Drosophila melanogaster: one gene and its partner. Changing the gene in region 1 together with any one later gene gives a genetic interaction. Each region holds a gene or a part of one and is shown on either strand. Other genes may lie near its edges.

Region 1 (5,310 bases):
AGCACCTCTTGCTCCAGACCCACGGCGGCCAGCGCCTTACGGCCACGCTGCGAAAGAGCCAGGTTAATACTCCTGCCCTGAACCACTAGGGCCTCGCGGATATCCTCCCGGTACTCGTACAAATCCACGTGGTTGCCCATGCGGGCAAAGTTCAAGGCTGCCAGAGAACCCACCTAGTGTTATGGAGAATAAGATGCGTAGAAAGCGTGATAAGAGCCTTATATCTGGAAGCAGGGATTTAAAAACACTAAAGATAACGCATCTAACTACATATGTGAAGACACATCAAAATGCAGCATAATTTAAAGATTACTTAGGAATGATTCGAAAAGAATTCGAATTCTATAATTCTACTACTATGATGTGTATTTTAGCAAATTAGCAAAGCTTAGTTTTAGATATTATGAAGCTTAACTAGAATTATTGCCTGTTTATAACCGTACTACGGTCTACTCTAAATATAGACTATATATTATTTTGTTAATGATTAACACTAAATTTCATTCGCTATATTTATAGACCCACAATCTATTTATGCTTTCGCAGAGTAATAATTGTATACTTCAAATAACTTTGTTACACTCACAAGTCCTGCTCCAATAACCGCCACCCGGCGCCGTCGTCCATGTCTCTCGTCCCTCGCAGCTTCTGTTGGCTCCTGGCGGCCGTTTACCTCCTGGCTAACGATTCCTGGGCTCATGACCGTTCTGCTGGCTCGTTGGCAGCGAAATGAAGATGGAATCGAGATGGAAGCCAGGCAACTGGCTGGGGAAATGTTTAACCAAGAGATTATGTCAGATGGGCAGTAAATGGTATCTATGGTTGTTTGATGTTGCTGCGGGAAGCCAACGAAATGCAGCGGCGTAGCCACAAACATTTGTCTTGGGGTAACTTTCCTAAGTTGGGCTGCAGAAAATGAAGATTTTACACCTGATACTTGATTCGTTGAGAAGCATGTGTAACCATTTGAAGCGATTGTCCGTATAAACATCCCGATCAACAAATAAAAAACTATATAAGCTAGAGGGTATGTACATAGATTCTACGCTATGTAAGATTGGCACGCCCACTCTATAATTCACAAACCTTTCAAAACTGTTACGCGCACACTTTCGAAAAGTGTTTTGATATTATTTTGTATCAGTAGTATTTCAAACGAATGTTTCAAATATTGACCTGCGTTTCCTCGTGTTTACTTGTTAAATAAGCTAAGTTAACTAAGCTTAAGTAATGGGAAAATATATCATTACAAATTCAAAATTCAGAATATGTTTTTATTTTTCTTTATTACATACTCGTACAAATGCATCTATCTTCGATGGACAAGAAGAAAACATAAGATTAAGCCAACAATGAATTCACGATAAGAAAACATTAGATTAAGCCAGCCCAGATTACATGATATAATTAAACATTTTAAACAGATAAGAACTGTAAATTGTGAGCACTTACACTTAAGATTGCTAATGAAGGAAAATTACCAAGTATATGAATGGAAATTTTGGATCATACTAAAGAAGTGTCATGCAGTTCAATTACTAAAAGTATAAATAAATAAATACATGTTCTGTTTTAAAAAACCGCGCTAATTTAAATTAATGTGACAAACGCTGACAACCCTGTCAACGCGTTGCCAACGCTAAGCTTTCTGGTATTCTTCCTTGGCCACCAAGGTATTTTTTGTCGCTCGAACCGCGGTCACACCAAAAGCTGCTGTGGAAAAACTCATGCACAATAGAAAATAGAAAACCGAATATTTCCACAACAAAACCGTAATTCAGCGGCCCAAAAACCACAGTAGCATGTGCAGGATAGCCCGCGGCGTAGGACTTTAAAGGAAACTAGAGGAAAACCAAGAGCGGAACGGCGAAAAGAGCGAACTTTATTTGTACTCTATAGATAGCATCCAAGGAGAACCACAAAAGGCAAAACCAAAATGGTAATAAAATGCCACCAAAATAAGCGAAGAACCAGTGCAAAAACGAAAGAGGGGAAGAGGCTGAGAGCGGGAAAGTGAGAAGTAGAGAGCGCAGATAGGGAGTGGGAGCTTATACCGTTATAAAGCCAACTTCCGTTCTGCGTTTCGTTCCAACCCCCCACCTCTCTTTCCCTCTTTTGGCATTGCAAAATATTAAAACTTCCCATTTAACATATATTTTTTCGCCTGCAGGGAAATGAAACATCACTGCCCATGGAAATGTGTTCCAATTGTAAGTACGAAATAATTCACTCAATGTCATTTGAACGGAATGGCAGCTGTTTATGAATATGCAAACATGGGCATTTAGAAGCGTACATTTAGATACGGTATGCATGTACGATTGTACGCCCGTATGTACGTATGCACATATGTAGGCATGTAAATACGCGAATGGCCAACAAAAGTGGAATGCAAACGAAACGTGGCGTAGAAATACATTTTGAATTCCCAACTCTTTATTCCGCACCATCGTCCTATTTCAAAATTGCCATTCTAGAATGTGTATTTGTCACACCTTGTCGCACATCTGATGATCGACAGACAACCGGATGCTAAATATAAATCGCCAACAATCTTAACCAGAATCTCGAAATCTGGTTTTACATCTGCATACTAAAGGGCTGTTTAAATGCTCAATACTATATAGTTACTTAGCAGAATAGTAATAATTAAATAACTTTAGTTTCAATTATGTGATTTATATTCGCGAAAAGGAATAATTTACATTTGTATGTTAGATAAATTTACTTAATATTTCAAGTGAAAATAATAGTATTTAAAAGCTTTATTAATCCTAATAACGCTATAGAAATTTGATGTTGAATTTTTAAGTATAGAGTTCAAAGAGCTCCACTGTAATCATAATCCTCACACCGTTCTAGAATCTAAATCTCTATTTCTATATATTTCCCGCCTTTCTGCAGTCGACGCCGACGAGATCCGGCGGCTGGGCAAACGTTTCCGGAAACTGGACCTGGACAATTCGGGCGCGCTGAGCGTGGACGAGTTCATGTCGCTGCCGGAGCTGCAACAGAATCCGCTGGTGCAGCGCGTGATCGACATTTTCGACGCGGACGGCAACGGCGAGGTGGACTTCAAGGAGTTCATCCAGGGCGTGTCGCAGTTCAGCGTCAAGGGCGACAAGCTGTCCAAGTTGCGCTTCGCCTTTCGCATCTATGACATGGACAACGATGGTTACATTTCCAATGGCGAACTGTTTCAGGCAAGACCCGCGAACATTACGTTAAGCTCATTCCACTGAAGTGTTTCCCCTCTAAAAGGTTTTAAAGATGATGGTAGGCAATAATCTGAAGGACACGCAACTGCAGCAGATTGTGGACAAGACGATCGGATTCGCGGATAAGGATGAGGATGGCAAGATCTCGTTCGATGAGTTCTGCTCTGTGGTCGGCAACACGGACATTCACAAGAAGATGGTAGTCGATGTCTAAAATAGGTTTAACGCAGATCCTTTTCTACGCGATGTTATTTATTTATTTTATACACGTCGGCATCCTTCGATTGTCACTATCACCACTATTCATATGGTTATTATTTTTGATCGGCGATTCTCTATAGTTAAATATTGTTATGAGCCTTTGGCGAGCCAGTTCAGTTAGTCAGTCAGTCAGTCAGCCAGCCAGCCAGTCAGTCAGTACAGCGATCGAAGGCTTAGGGAGAAATCGCGAATGCAATGTTGTTATCCTAAGTTGAAAAGTGGAATAATGCGCCTCCTACTTACTTCTTAAATATATTCATCTATATACTTATATATAAATGCATATATAGTCATAATTTATTATACAAATATACATTTAAAGAATTCAAAAACCCCAGAAGCAAAACTAAACTTAACTAAGGCGGAATCCAAGTTCGTGCAAGCAAAGGCAAATAAAGCAACCCAAGTTGAACGAATGCTCTATCGAATGCACTTTCGCTCTATCATATTGATGTTATATTTCTAATTCTCCTGTGATTTTGCCAAAAACAAAACAAAAAAAAAAAAAAAAAAACAACAAAACCAATCGAAATGCAACAAATCGAAATATGAAGTGCTTATGATGAGAAAGGACAGATGCGCGGGGCAGCTAAGCAACCTGCCCGAAGGAGGTCTCCTCTATTGACTTAGTCTTATTTACACGTTGTGTACTTTTTATATATTTATACATACCTACTTGTACTAATCGAATGTTATAACCTACGTAACGTATTTTTATATATCTTGACTAACTTGATAACACCAGAGGAAGGCGACGTTTGCCAAGTTTCTTAAGTCTATCTTAACCAATTTCTAACGCCACTTAACTCAAATTAATCAACGATTCTCACGCAGAACGTAGAACGCCTCGAACGTTTTCTAAAATACGCTACATTTTGCAGTTTATAACGCGAGTTAACTGAAAATCGAATAGTTATTATACATCAAAACATACATATGAAGCAATGCCGTGCGGTGATATTGCAGTAACATTTTTTTATACCTAATTATACTAGTTAAAGATGCAAGAAAACCAAATAGTAAAACGCATGTTACAAATTTTACAATTAACAAATTTTTGCACACTCGCCACTCTCAATTCGTTAGCTAATCAATTAAATTCCATTGCATTATTCAAAGTAATCGACTCGAGGTCGTATCTCATTGTAAAATGGTGTAGCCACAAGTTGGGAACCCATCGATAGATAGGCCCGCATGGATTGCCCAGTTAGCTGGCCAGTCGAAGCAATAATAAGCGAATCCTTCAATAAAATTATAATTATACACTAACCAACAAAGGTTTTCTTCAATTGTTGTTGCGCTGGTGGAGGAGCTACAGTACAATATGAGATTAGATAAGGTCTGCGGCAAAAGCTAGCCTGCTCACCCATCACCACCATGAATACTCCCGTCCAGTTTAGTTGTGAAATAATCGGCGGTCTGCAAGTTACTCTGCGATTTTGGAAACATGTGGAAGCTGGACACCAAAGGAGGAATCATCTGCTCGGGCTGCCTGTCCATAGCCTTTGCCATAACCTATCTGGTTTTGATGGACGATTACTTCTGGAAATGTAGGCGCATATACATACCAATCTTGGATATCTTTGCGATGCATAGAGCTATTTCGTTTCAGATGGACTCTACGAGATGGGAATACACATTTCGGCGCTGCAGATCTTGGGAAGCGTGGTCCTCATCGTTGGAGCCATAAAGGTTAGTTAGGCACACTGTGCACAGTCCACAACACTCTTATCTCTTATCTCTTTGCTCTGCTCTTTGCTGCATACAGCAAAAGCACAAGTTCTTCGTGCCGTGGATGATAACCACAGGATTCTTTTTATACCTGATGGTG
Region 2 (7,652 bases), on another chromosome or scaffold:
CCCCACACTTTCGGGCACTTTTAAATTAAAAACAAAGCCGCGGGCCAGCCGGTTGATGTATTTGAGCTACATCTGTATGTACTTATTCCGTTAAGTGAATTAAATGAACTGCGCGAACGCGGATTTTTTTATTTTCCAATGCTTTTTCCCAAATTTATTTTACTTGATTTCGGATTGAGGACGAACGATGCTGCCCAGCGCAATAGCAATTTTGTTCACTTGTCTTCCTCTTCCTGCTTCGTCCAGTGCAGCAACAACACCAACACCCCCAGCAGCAGCAGCAACGGAGAGTCATGGCAAAGAGGCGAAAGCGAGTGTGCGAGTAACGGTCACGCGGCTGCGCGTGCGTTTGTATATCTATTGATTAAAAGTTCGCTCTGCTCTGGCCACTGCTTCCCCTTCTCCATCACCATCCCCATCCTCTTCTTATCCTTATTCCTTTTGGCAGTTCTCTCGTAATTGCTGCGCCCACTTTCCGCCGCCCCGCCCACATCGCTTCCGTCGCCGCCACCCAGCCCCGCAGACGCGCACACACCAACTGCAAAGTGCGTTTGCGTTTGTACAACGGCAAATGCAACAATAACACACGCACGCATACATCCACACAATAACGGAATAAATGAAATTCGCCAACAATTTGGCGTTCGAGCAAGTGACGAACGACGCCAAATGAAAACACTCCCTTTTTCGGGGGTACACAATTTTCCACAACAAACAAAGCCTAGTGCCGAGTGTATCGGCAAAAAATTCGAAATTATTACTTTTTGCTGCACTATTTTCAGTTGGCATTAATTCAATCAAGTTGTCGTATTTCTGGCGTATCTATTAAATTTCATTCGGGTTTGTATTGTTTTTGAGGCTAGGTTTGATTTTATGTTTTTGCAATATCGGTGCAAAGGCAACAAAACACACGAGCGAGGACCTTCACATTCCGAAGACTGGGCAAAGTATGAAAATTTCGTGTCGTTCAATTTGGTCACACCCTCTGGATTATGCTCACGATACGATGTTACTGTTTTTTCGCAGGACGAAAAGGACCCTTCGAAAAACCCGAACCCCATCCAATGTGACCGTTTTGAGCAAACTAACATAGTCCGAAGCGTTCGGCTCTCACAGATCAGCAAAAAGGAATTTATTATATTTAAGTCTTAAGGCACACATCAAATGTATAGTTAATCAAATTTAGTTTATACAAATTATATGTGTATTTCAATTTCTTTAAATAAATAATAAATAAATCAAAAACAAAAACCTTGGTTTCAATCACTTACTCCGTTAGTTTTCAACGTATTATTTGTAAGTCCATAGGACCATTTGAAACTAACGGCTCTGTTTTCAAAAAGAATCAAAAACTCCAAAACTTAAGTCGCTTTTAGCTCGGTTCCGGGAATTCAAAATAATTTTTAAATTAGCCACACCATTTTTAGACATTAACGGTCACACTCGACTTAAGCTCGTATAATACAGTGGTGGACGTACCGTTAAAAGCCATGCAAAATTAATATTTAAAGGCGAGAAACTCTATTTTGGTCACAAATGTAATTATTGCCGTATATGAACCAAATTTTTTAAGCCCACAAAGCTCCCCTTCTATATGATAAATCAGCTGCACCAAACCTACGAAGTGCAACGCGAGTGTGCCTTCTGTGATTTCCAACACTTTAGTGTTGCCTAACCCTCGTAAAATGCGCAGTGTGGCCAGTTCCGGCAACTGCATACGAAGGTGCGACCATGCCGTTTGCTCGGGTGAGCGGTGAACGGTCACCACTTAGTCTTCTTTTTTTTAGTGCAAAAAAAAAACAAAATAAAGAAGAAGAAACGAAAAACAGGGCCAGCAGCTTGAGCCCAAATATAAAACAAATATAACATTTTATGTGGTCAAAATGAGCGTGCTGCCGTTTGTGCGCGGTGTGGACTTTACGAAAAATGATTTCAGCGTGAGTACAACCAGCAAAAACAGTTGCAGCCTTGTTGTTTTTTCGGAGTGGTTCAGGTTCTAAAAAAAAAAGAAGCTAAGAAACAGGTCACCGAGAAGCACCTGAGCATTAGTCATAAGTGCGGAGCAGAGATAATCCCGAAATATGATTGATTCCATTGCAGGCAACATTCCCCAGCTCCATGCGGCAGATGTCGCGGGTGCAGTGGCTCACACTGGATCGCACGCAGCTGGCGGAGATTCCCGAGGAGCTAGGCCACCTACAGAAGCTGGAGCACCTGTCGCTGAACCACAACCGACTGGAGAAGATCTTTGGCGAGCTGACAGAGCTGTCCTGCCTGCGATCCCTCGACCTGCGGCACAATCAGCTGAAGAACAGCGGCATACCGCCGGAGCTGTTTCACCTGGAGGAGCTGACCACGCTGGACCTGTCGCACAACAAACTGAAGGAGGTGCCCGAGGGTTTGGAGCGGGCCAAGAACCTGATAGTCCTCAACCTGAGCAACAATCAGATCGAGAGCATACCCACGCCGCTGTTCATCCATCTAACGGATCTGCTGTTCCTGGATCTGTCGCACAATAGACTGGAGACACTGCCGCCGCAGACGCGACGTCTGATTAATCTGAAAACCCTGGACCTATCGCACAATCCGCTGGAGCTGTTTCAACTGCGGCAATTGCCCTCGCTGCAGAGCTTGGAGGTCCTGAAGATGAGCGGCACGCAGCGCACGCTCCTCAATTTTCCCACTAGCATAGACAGTTTGGCCAATCTCTGCGAACTGGACCTGTCGCACAATTCGCTGCCCAAGCTGCCAGACTGCGTCTACAATGTGGTCACTTTGGTGCGACTGAATCTGAGCGACAACGAGCTAACCGAACTGACTGCCGGTGTAGAGCTTTGGCAGCGTCTGGAGTCGCTGAATCTGTCGCGGAATCAATTGGTTGCGCTGCCGGCTGCCCTCTGCAAACTACCAAAGCTGCGACGATTGCTGGTGAACGACAATAAGCTAAACTTCGAGGGCATCCCCTCGGGCATCGGCAAACTCGGAGCTCTGGAGGTGTTTTCGGCAGCCAACAACCTGCTGGAAATGGTGCCAGAGGGACTCTGCCGATGCGGTGCTTTGAAGCAGCTCAACTTGAGCTGCAATCGGCTTATAACCCTGCCCGATGCCATTCACCTGCTGGAGGGCCTAGACCAGTTGGACTTGCGCAACAATCCGGAGCTAGTGATGCCGCCCAAGCCAAGCGAAGCGAGTAAAGCCACCAGTCTTGAGTTCTACAACATAGATTTTAGTCTGCAGACTCAGCTTCGGTTAGCTGGGGCTGCTGTGCCGCCTTCCATGCCATCGTCAGCAACGCCCAAGGATTCAACGGCGAGGAAAATACGTTTACGACGCGGTCCTCGCAGTGAAGGCGATCAGGATGCTGCCAAGGTGCTCAAGGGCATGAAGGATGTGGCAAAGGATAAGGATAACGAGGCGGGTGCTGTGCCCGAGGACGGAAAGCCAGAGTCGCTCAAACCTAAGAGATGGGACGAGTCACTGGAAAAACCGCAACTGGACTACTCCAAGTTCTTTGAGAAGGACGATGGCCAGCTGCCGGGCTTGACCATTTGGGAAATCGAGAACTTCCTGCCCAACAAAATTGAGGAGGTGGTGCATGGCAAATTCTACGAGGGCGACTGCTACATAGTCCTCAAGACCAAGTTCGATGACCTGGGCCTGCTCGATTGGGAAATATTCTTTTGGATAGGCAACGAAGCCACGCTGGACAAACGAGCTTGCGCTGCCATTCATGCAGTGAACCTAAGAAACTTTCTGGGCGCCCGATGTCGAACGGTTCGCGAGGAGCAGGGCGATGAATCCGAGCAGTTTCTGTCCCTCTTCGAGACGGAAGTCATCTACATCGAGGGCGGACGCACAGCTACTGGTTTCTATACCATAGAAGAGATGATACACATCACCAGATTGTATTTAGTGCACGCCTATGGCGCTACCATTCATCTGGAGCCAGTGGCTCCTGCCATTACCTCCCTGGATCCCCGCCACGCCTTTGTCTTGGATCTGGGCACCCATATTTACATTTGGATGGGCGAAAGATCGAAGAACACGCTGAACTCCAAGGCCAGGTTAATGGCGGAAAAGATCAGCAAAACGGAGCGCAAGAACAAATGTGAAATCCAGTTGGAGCGGCAGGGCGAGGAGAGTGCCGAATTCTGGCAAGGACTGGGCATGACCTCGGAGGAGGCAGACGCCGCAGAGCCACCAAAGGAGCACGTTCCAGAGGACTATCAGCCGGTGCAGCCTCGCCTCTACCAGGTGCAACTTGGCATGGGTTATCTGGAGTTGCCGCAAGTGGAGTTACCTGAGCAAAAACTTTGCCATACCTTGCTAAATAGCAAGCACGTCTACATACTCGACTGTTACACCGATCTGTTCGTTTGGTTTGGCAAGAAGTCGACGCGTTTGGTCCGAGCGGCCGCTGTCAAGTTGAGTCGGGAGCTCTTTAACATGATGGATCGTCCGGATTATGCGCTGGTGATGCGTGTACCCGAGGGCAATGAAATGCAGATCTTCCGAACCAAGTTCGCTGGCTGGGATGAGGTAATGGCCGTGGACTTCACGAGAACGGCGAAGTCGGTGGCCAAGACAGGGGCTAATCTCACACAGTGGGCTCGGCAGCAGGAGACGCGCACGGATCTTGCCGCGCTATTTATGCCCCGACAGTCGGCCATGCCATTGGCGGAGGCGGAACAGTTGGAGGAGGAGTGGAACTACGATCTGGAGATGATGGAGGCCTTTGTACTGGAGAACAAGAAGTTCGTCCGGCTGCCCGAGGAGGAATTGGGTCGCTTTTACACCGGCGAATGCTATGTGTTCCTCTGCCGCTATTGCATTCCCATCGAGGAGCCCGAGAATGGCTCCGAAGATGGTGCTAACCCAGCCGCAGACGTCAGTAAATCCAGCGCCAACAATCAGCCAGAGGACGAGATCCAGTGCGTCGTTTACTTTTGGCAGGGACGCAATGCCGGCAATATGGGATGGCTCACGTTTACCTTTACACTGCAGAAGAAGTTCAAGGCGATGTTCGGCGAGGAGCTGGAGGTGGTGCGGATCTTCCAGCAGCAGGAGAACCTCAAGTTCATGTCCCACTTCAAGCGGAAGTTCATCATCCACACCGGCAAGCGGAAGGACAAGGCGCACACCGCGAAGGGCAAGTCGCCAGTTGAGTTCTTTCACCTGCGATCGAACGGCGGTGCGCTCACCACTCGCCTTATCCAAATTAATCCGGATGCAGTGCATCTCAACTCAACCTTCTGGTGAGCAAATTACCAATAATTTATTACTGTGGGTGGTAATAATCACCCAGTTTTTTTTTTTGAGATGTATGACAAGTGCGATTTTATTGGATCAACATTCTTGTCTTATCGTTGGTTGAAACTGAAATTCCTGGAAGCCTACGTGATATGACACAGTATTATTTATATATATCCAAAAGATAGCGAACATAGTAGTAGTCGCTCCAATATTTATATTCCATACGCATTATTTCAGCTACATACTCCATGTGCCATTTGAAACGGAGGACGATTCGCAGTCGGGGATTGTGTACGTGTGGATAGGCAGCAAGGCCTGCAACGAAGAGGCCAAACTGGTGCAGGATATTGCCGAGCAGATGTTCAACTCGCCGTGGGTGAGCTTACAGGTGGGTTCCATGTGTTAATGTGGTTCAACCATGTAGTGGGCTGTTTTGTGGAATATATTGTACATATGTTTATATTAAGGTACACGCTCTTGTTAATCGTTTCTTTTCATCCATCCTTTGCAGATTCTCAACGAGGGCGACGAGCCGGAGAACTTCTTCTGGGTGGCGCTGGGCGGCCGCAAGCCTTACGATACGGACGCCGAGTACATGAACTACACGCGGCTGTTCCGGTGCTCCAACGAGCGCGGCTACTACACGGTGGCCGAGAAGTGCGCCGACTTTTGCCAGGACGATCTGGCCGACGACGATATCATGATCCTGGACAACGGCGAGCACGTCTTCCTGTGGATGGGACCGCGTTGCAGCGAGGTGGAGGTGAAGCTGGCCTACAAGTCCGCCCAGGTCTACATCCAGCACATGCGGATCAAGCAGCCGGAGCGGCCGAGGAAGCTCTTCCTCACGATGAAGAACAAGGAGTCGCGCCGTTTCACCAAGTGCTTCCACGGCTGGAGCGCCTTCAAGGTGTATTTATAATTTTAGCCAACTGAAGGAGCATCGTCGAGTAGTTCTTTTAAATTTCCCTAATTCATGCACCGCCGCTATGTGGCCATTTAGGTCTCCGCAAGGAAAGCGCCTAAAAGGCGCTAGTTTTTGTCTTGCTTGTCTCGATTGGCGCCTTCGAGTCCCTGTCAGAGCTAGTGAATCGGCCTCGGGAAGTGCATTTATTAACCAGAAGTCGAAGAGCACGCCTGCAATGTGAGTTTAGTTTTATGAAATGAATAGAGGCACCTTAGAGGTGTTACCCACTAATCTTAGCCCGTTAGAGGAGCCCCATCGAGTTGTAAATTGGTCATTAAGCATTAAGTTAGACCTCTGTTAGCCGGATGCGAATGTTGTTCGCTGGGAAGATGCGCTGGGCAGCTGCCGTGACAGAGTAGCTGCCCCAGAAGACATGACAAAGCAAAATTGTATCGAGGGAAAAAGAATGAAAGGGCCAAGCCAAGCCCTTCCTTCAGGTCGTGAGTGAAGATCGTGTGTTTGTACTTTTATAAAATGTATTTAATTGTTTTGTATAATTAATTTAAATTTTTTTATTAGCTCACTTGCTCCCGCCCCTAACTAAATAATTAGCTAACTCCAAGAACGCCAAGTATTCGCCCACTCCCTGCGAGAAAACCACATGAGTATATTGAATGCAAATATACATACATATGTATGTATATCACATATGCCTACAAATACGCAATATATATATATATATATATATATACATACGCTGAGCTGAGAGGATTACTCCCCTGTGCTAGTCCTTTTAAAATGTTAACCTACTTAAAGCTAGCCTGTAATAAAGTCAAGGAAGCACTAAAACTAATTGTACAAATGCCCACGTATTTATTTTATTTTTATTAATCCCCTGAATAAACATTAGAAAAATTGAAATTCCTCTATTCGTGTCGCGGATTGAAGGAGGTATTGGAATAGATTTAATTAAGTTATGTGCTAATTTTTCGGCAAAAGATACATATAACATATCAGAATAGCACATATCAGCACATTATTGTTAGTTCGCTGCTATTATATTGGCCTCAGCTGTATCTGCGGTTAGCGAGTGCACCCACCGCAGTTAGCACGTGCCAGCACCTTATTTGGCGAATTCGCCACCATGTGTATCGATATGTCGATGGCAGGCGCTATCGATTTTGATGGATGTTCTCAAAGCGTGTTCGGCGCGGTCACACTGGTGGTTTATTTTATTCCGAAAACTATTTGTAATTTAACTCAAATTAAGTGAAAACAGCATGCCAGATGCCGAGCAACTACCGGACGGCTGGGAGAAGCGCACTAGCCGCTCCACAGGTAAGCATCGTGTGCAGTCCCGCTCGTGCCATGCCGGCGGTTTTCCGGCGGAATGCGGAACCGGCACGCTAAACTGAACCTGCACTTGATTGATCATGATTGATTTTGCAGGAATGAGCTATTATCTCAATATGTACACAAAGGAGTCGCAGTG

What was found.
Region 2: of CanB2 (region 1) and fliI, changing one suppresses a phenotype caused by changing the other (phenotypic suppression), as found in Drosophila melanogaster (one study listed by BioGRID).

Annotation. Positions count from the first base shown.
Region 1 is NT_033778.4:7,784,330-7,789,639, forward strand, and holds CanB2 (calcineurin B2), read left to right. Parts: upstream 1-1,680; 5' UTR 1,681-1,936; coding exon 1,937-1,939; intron 1,940-1,992; exon of another isoform or gene 1,993-2,114; intron 2,115-2,170; coding exon 2,171-2,210; intron 2,211-2,904; coding exon 2,905-3,203; intron 3,204-3,261; coding exon 3,262-3,432; 3' UTR 3,433-4,724; downstream 4,725-5,310. Other genes in the region: CG12825 (uncharacterized protein), read left to right, coding at 4,927-5,029, 5,092-5,171, 5,248-5,310. UniProt on the Drosophila melanogaster protein: Calcineurin is a calcium-binding and calmodulin-binding protein found in all cells from yeast to mammals, and a calcium-dependent, calmodulin-stimulated protein phosphatase.
Region 2 is NC_004354.4:21,338,011-21,345,662, forward strand, and holds fliI (flightless I), read left to right. Parts: upstream 1-1,730; 5' UTR 1,731-1,883; coding exon 1,884-1,937; intron 1,938-2,100; coding exon 2,101-5,255; intron 5,256-5,490; coding exon 5,491-5,641; intron 5,642-5,764; coding exon 5,765-6,175; 3' UTR 6,176-7,078; downstream 7,079-7,652. Other genes in the region: dod (dodo), read left to right, coding at 7,441-7,498, 7,610-7,652. UniProt on the Drosophila melanogaster protein: May play a key role in embryonic cellularization by interacting with both the cytoskeleton and other cellular components. Alternatively, it may play a structural role in indirect flight muscle. Vital for embryonic development.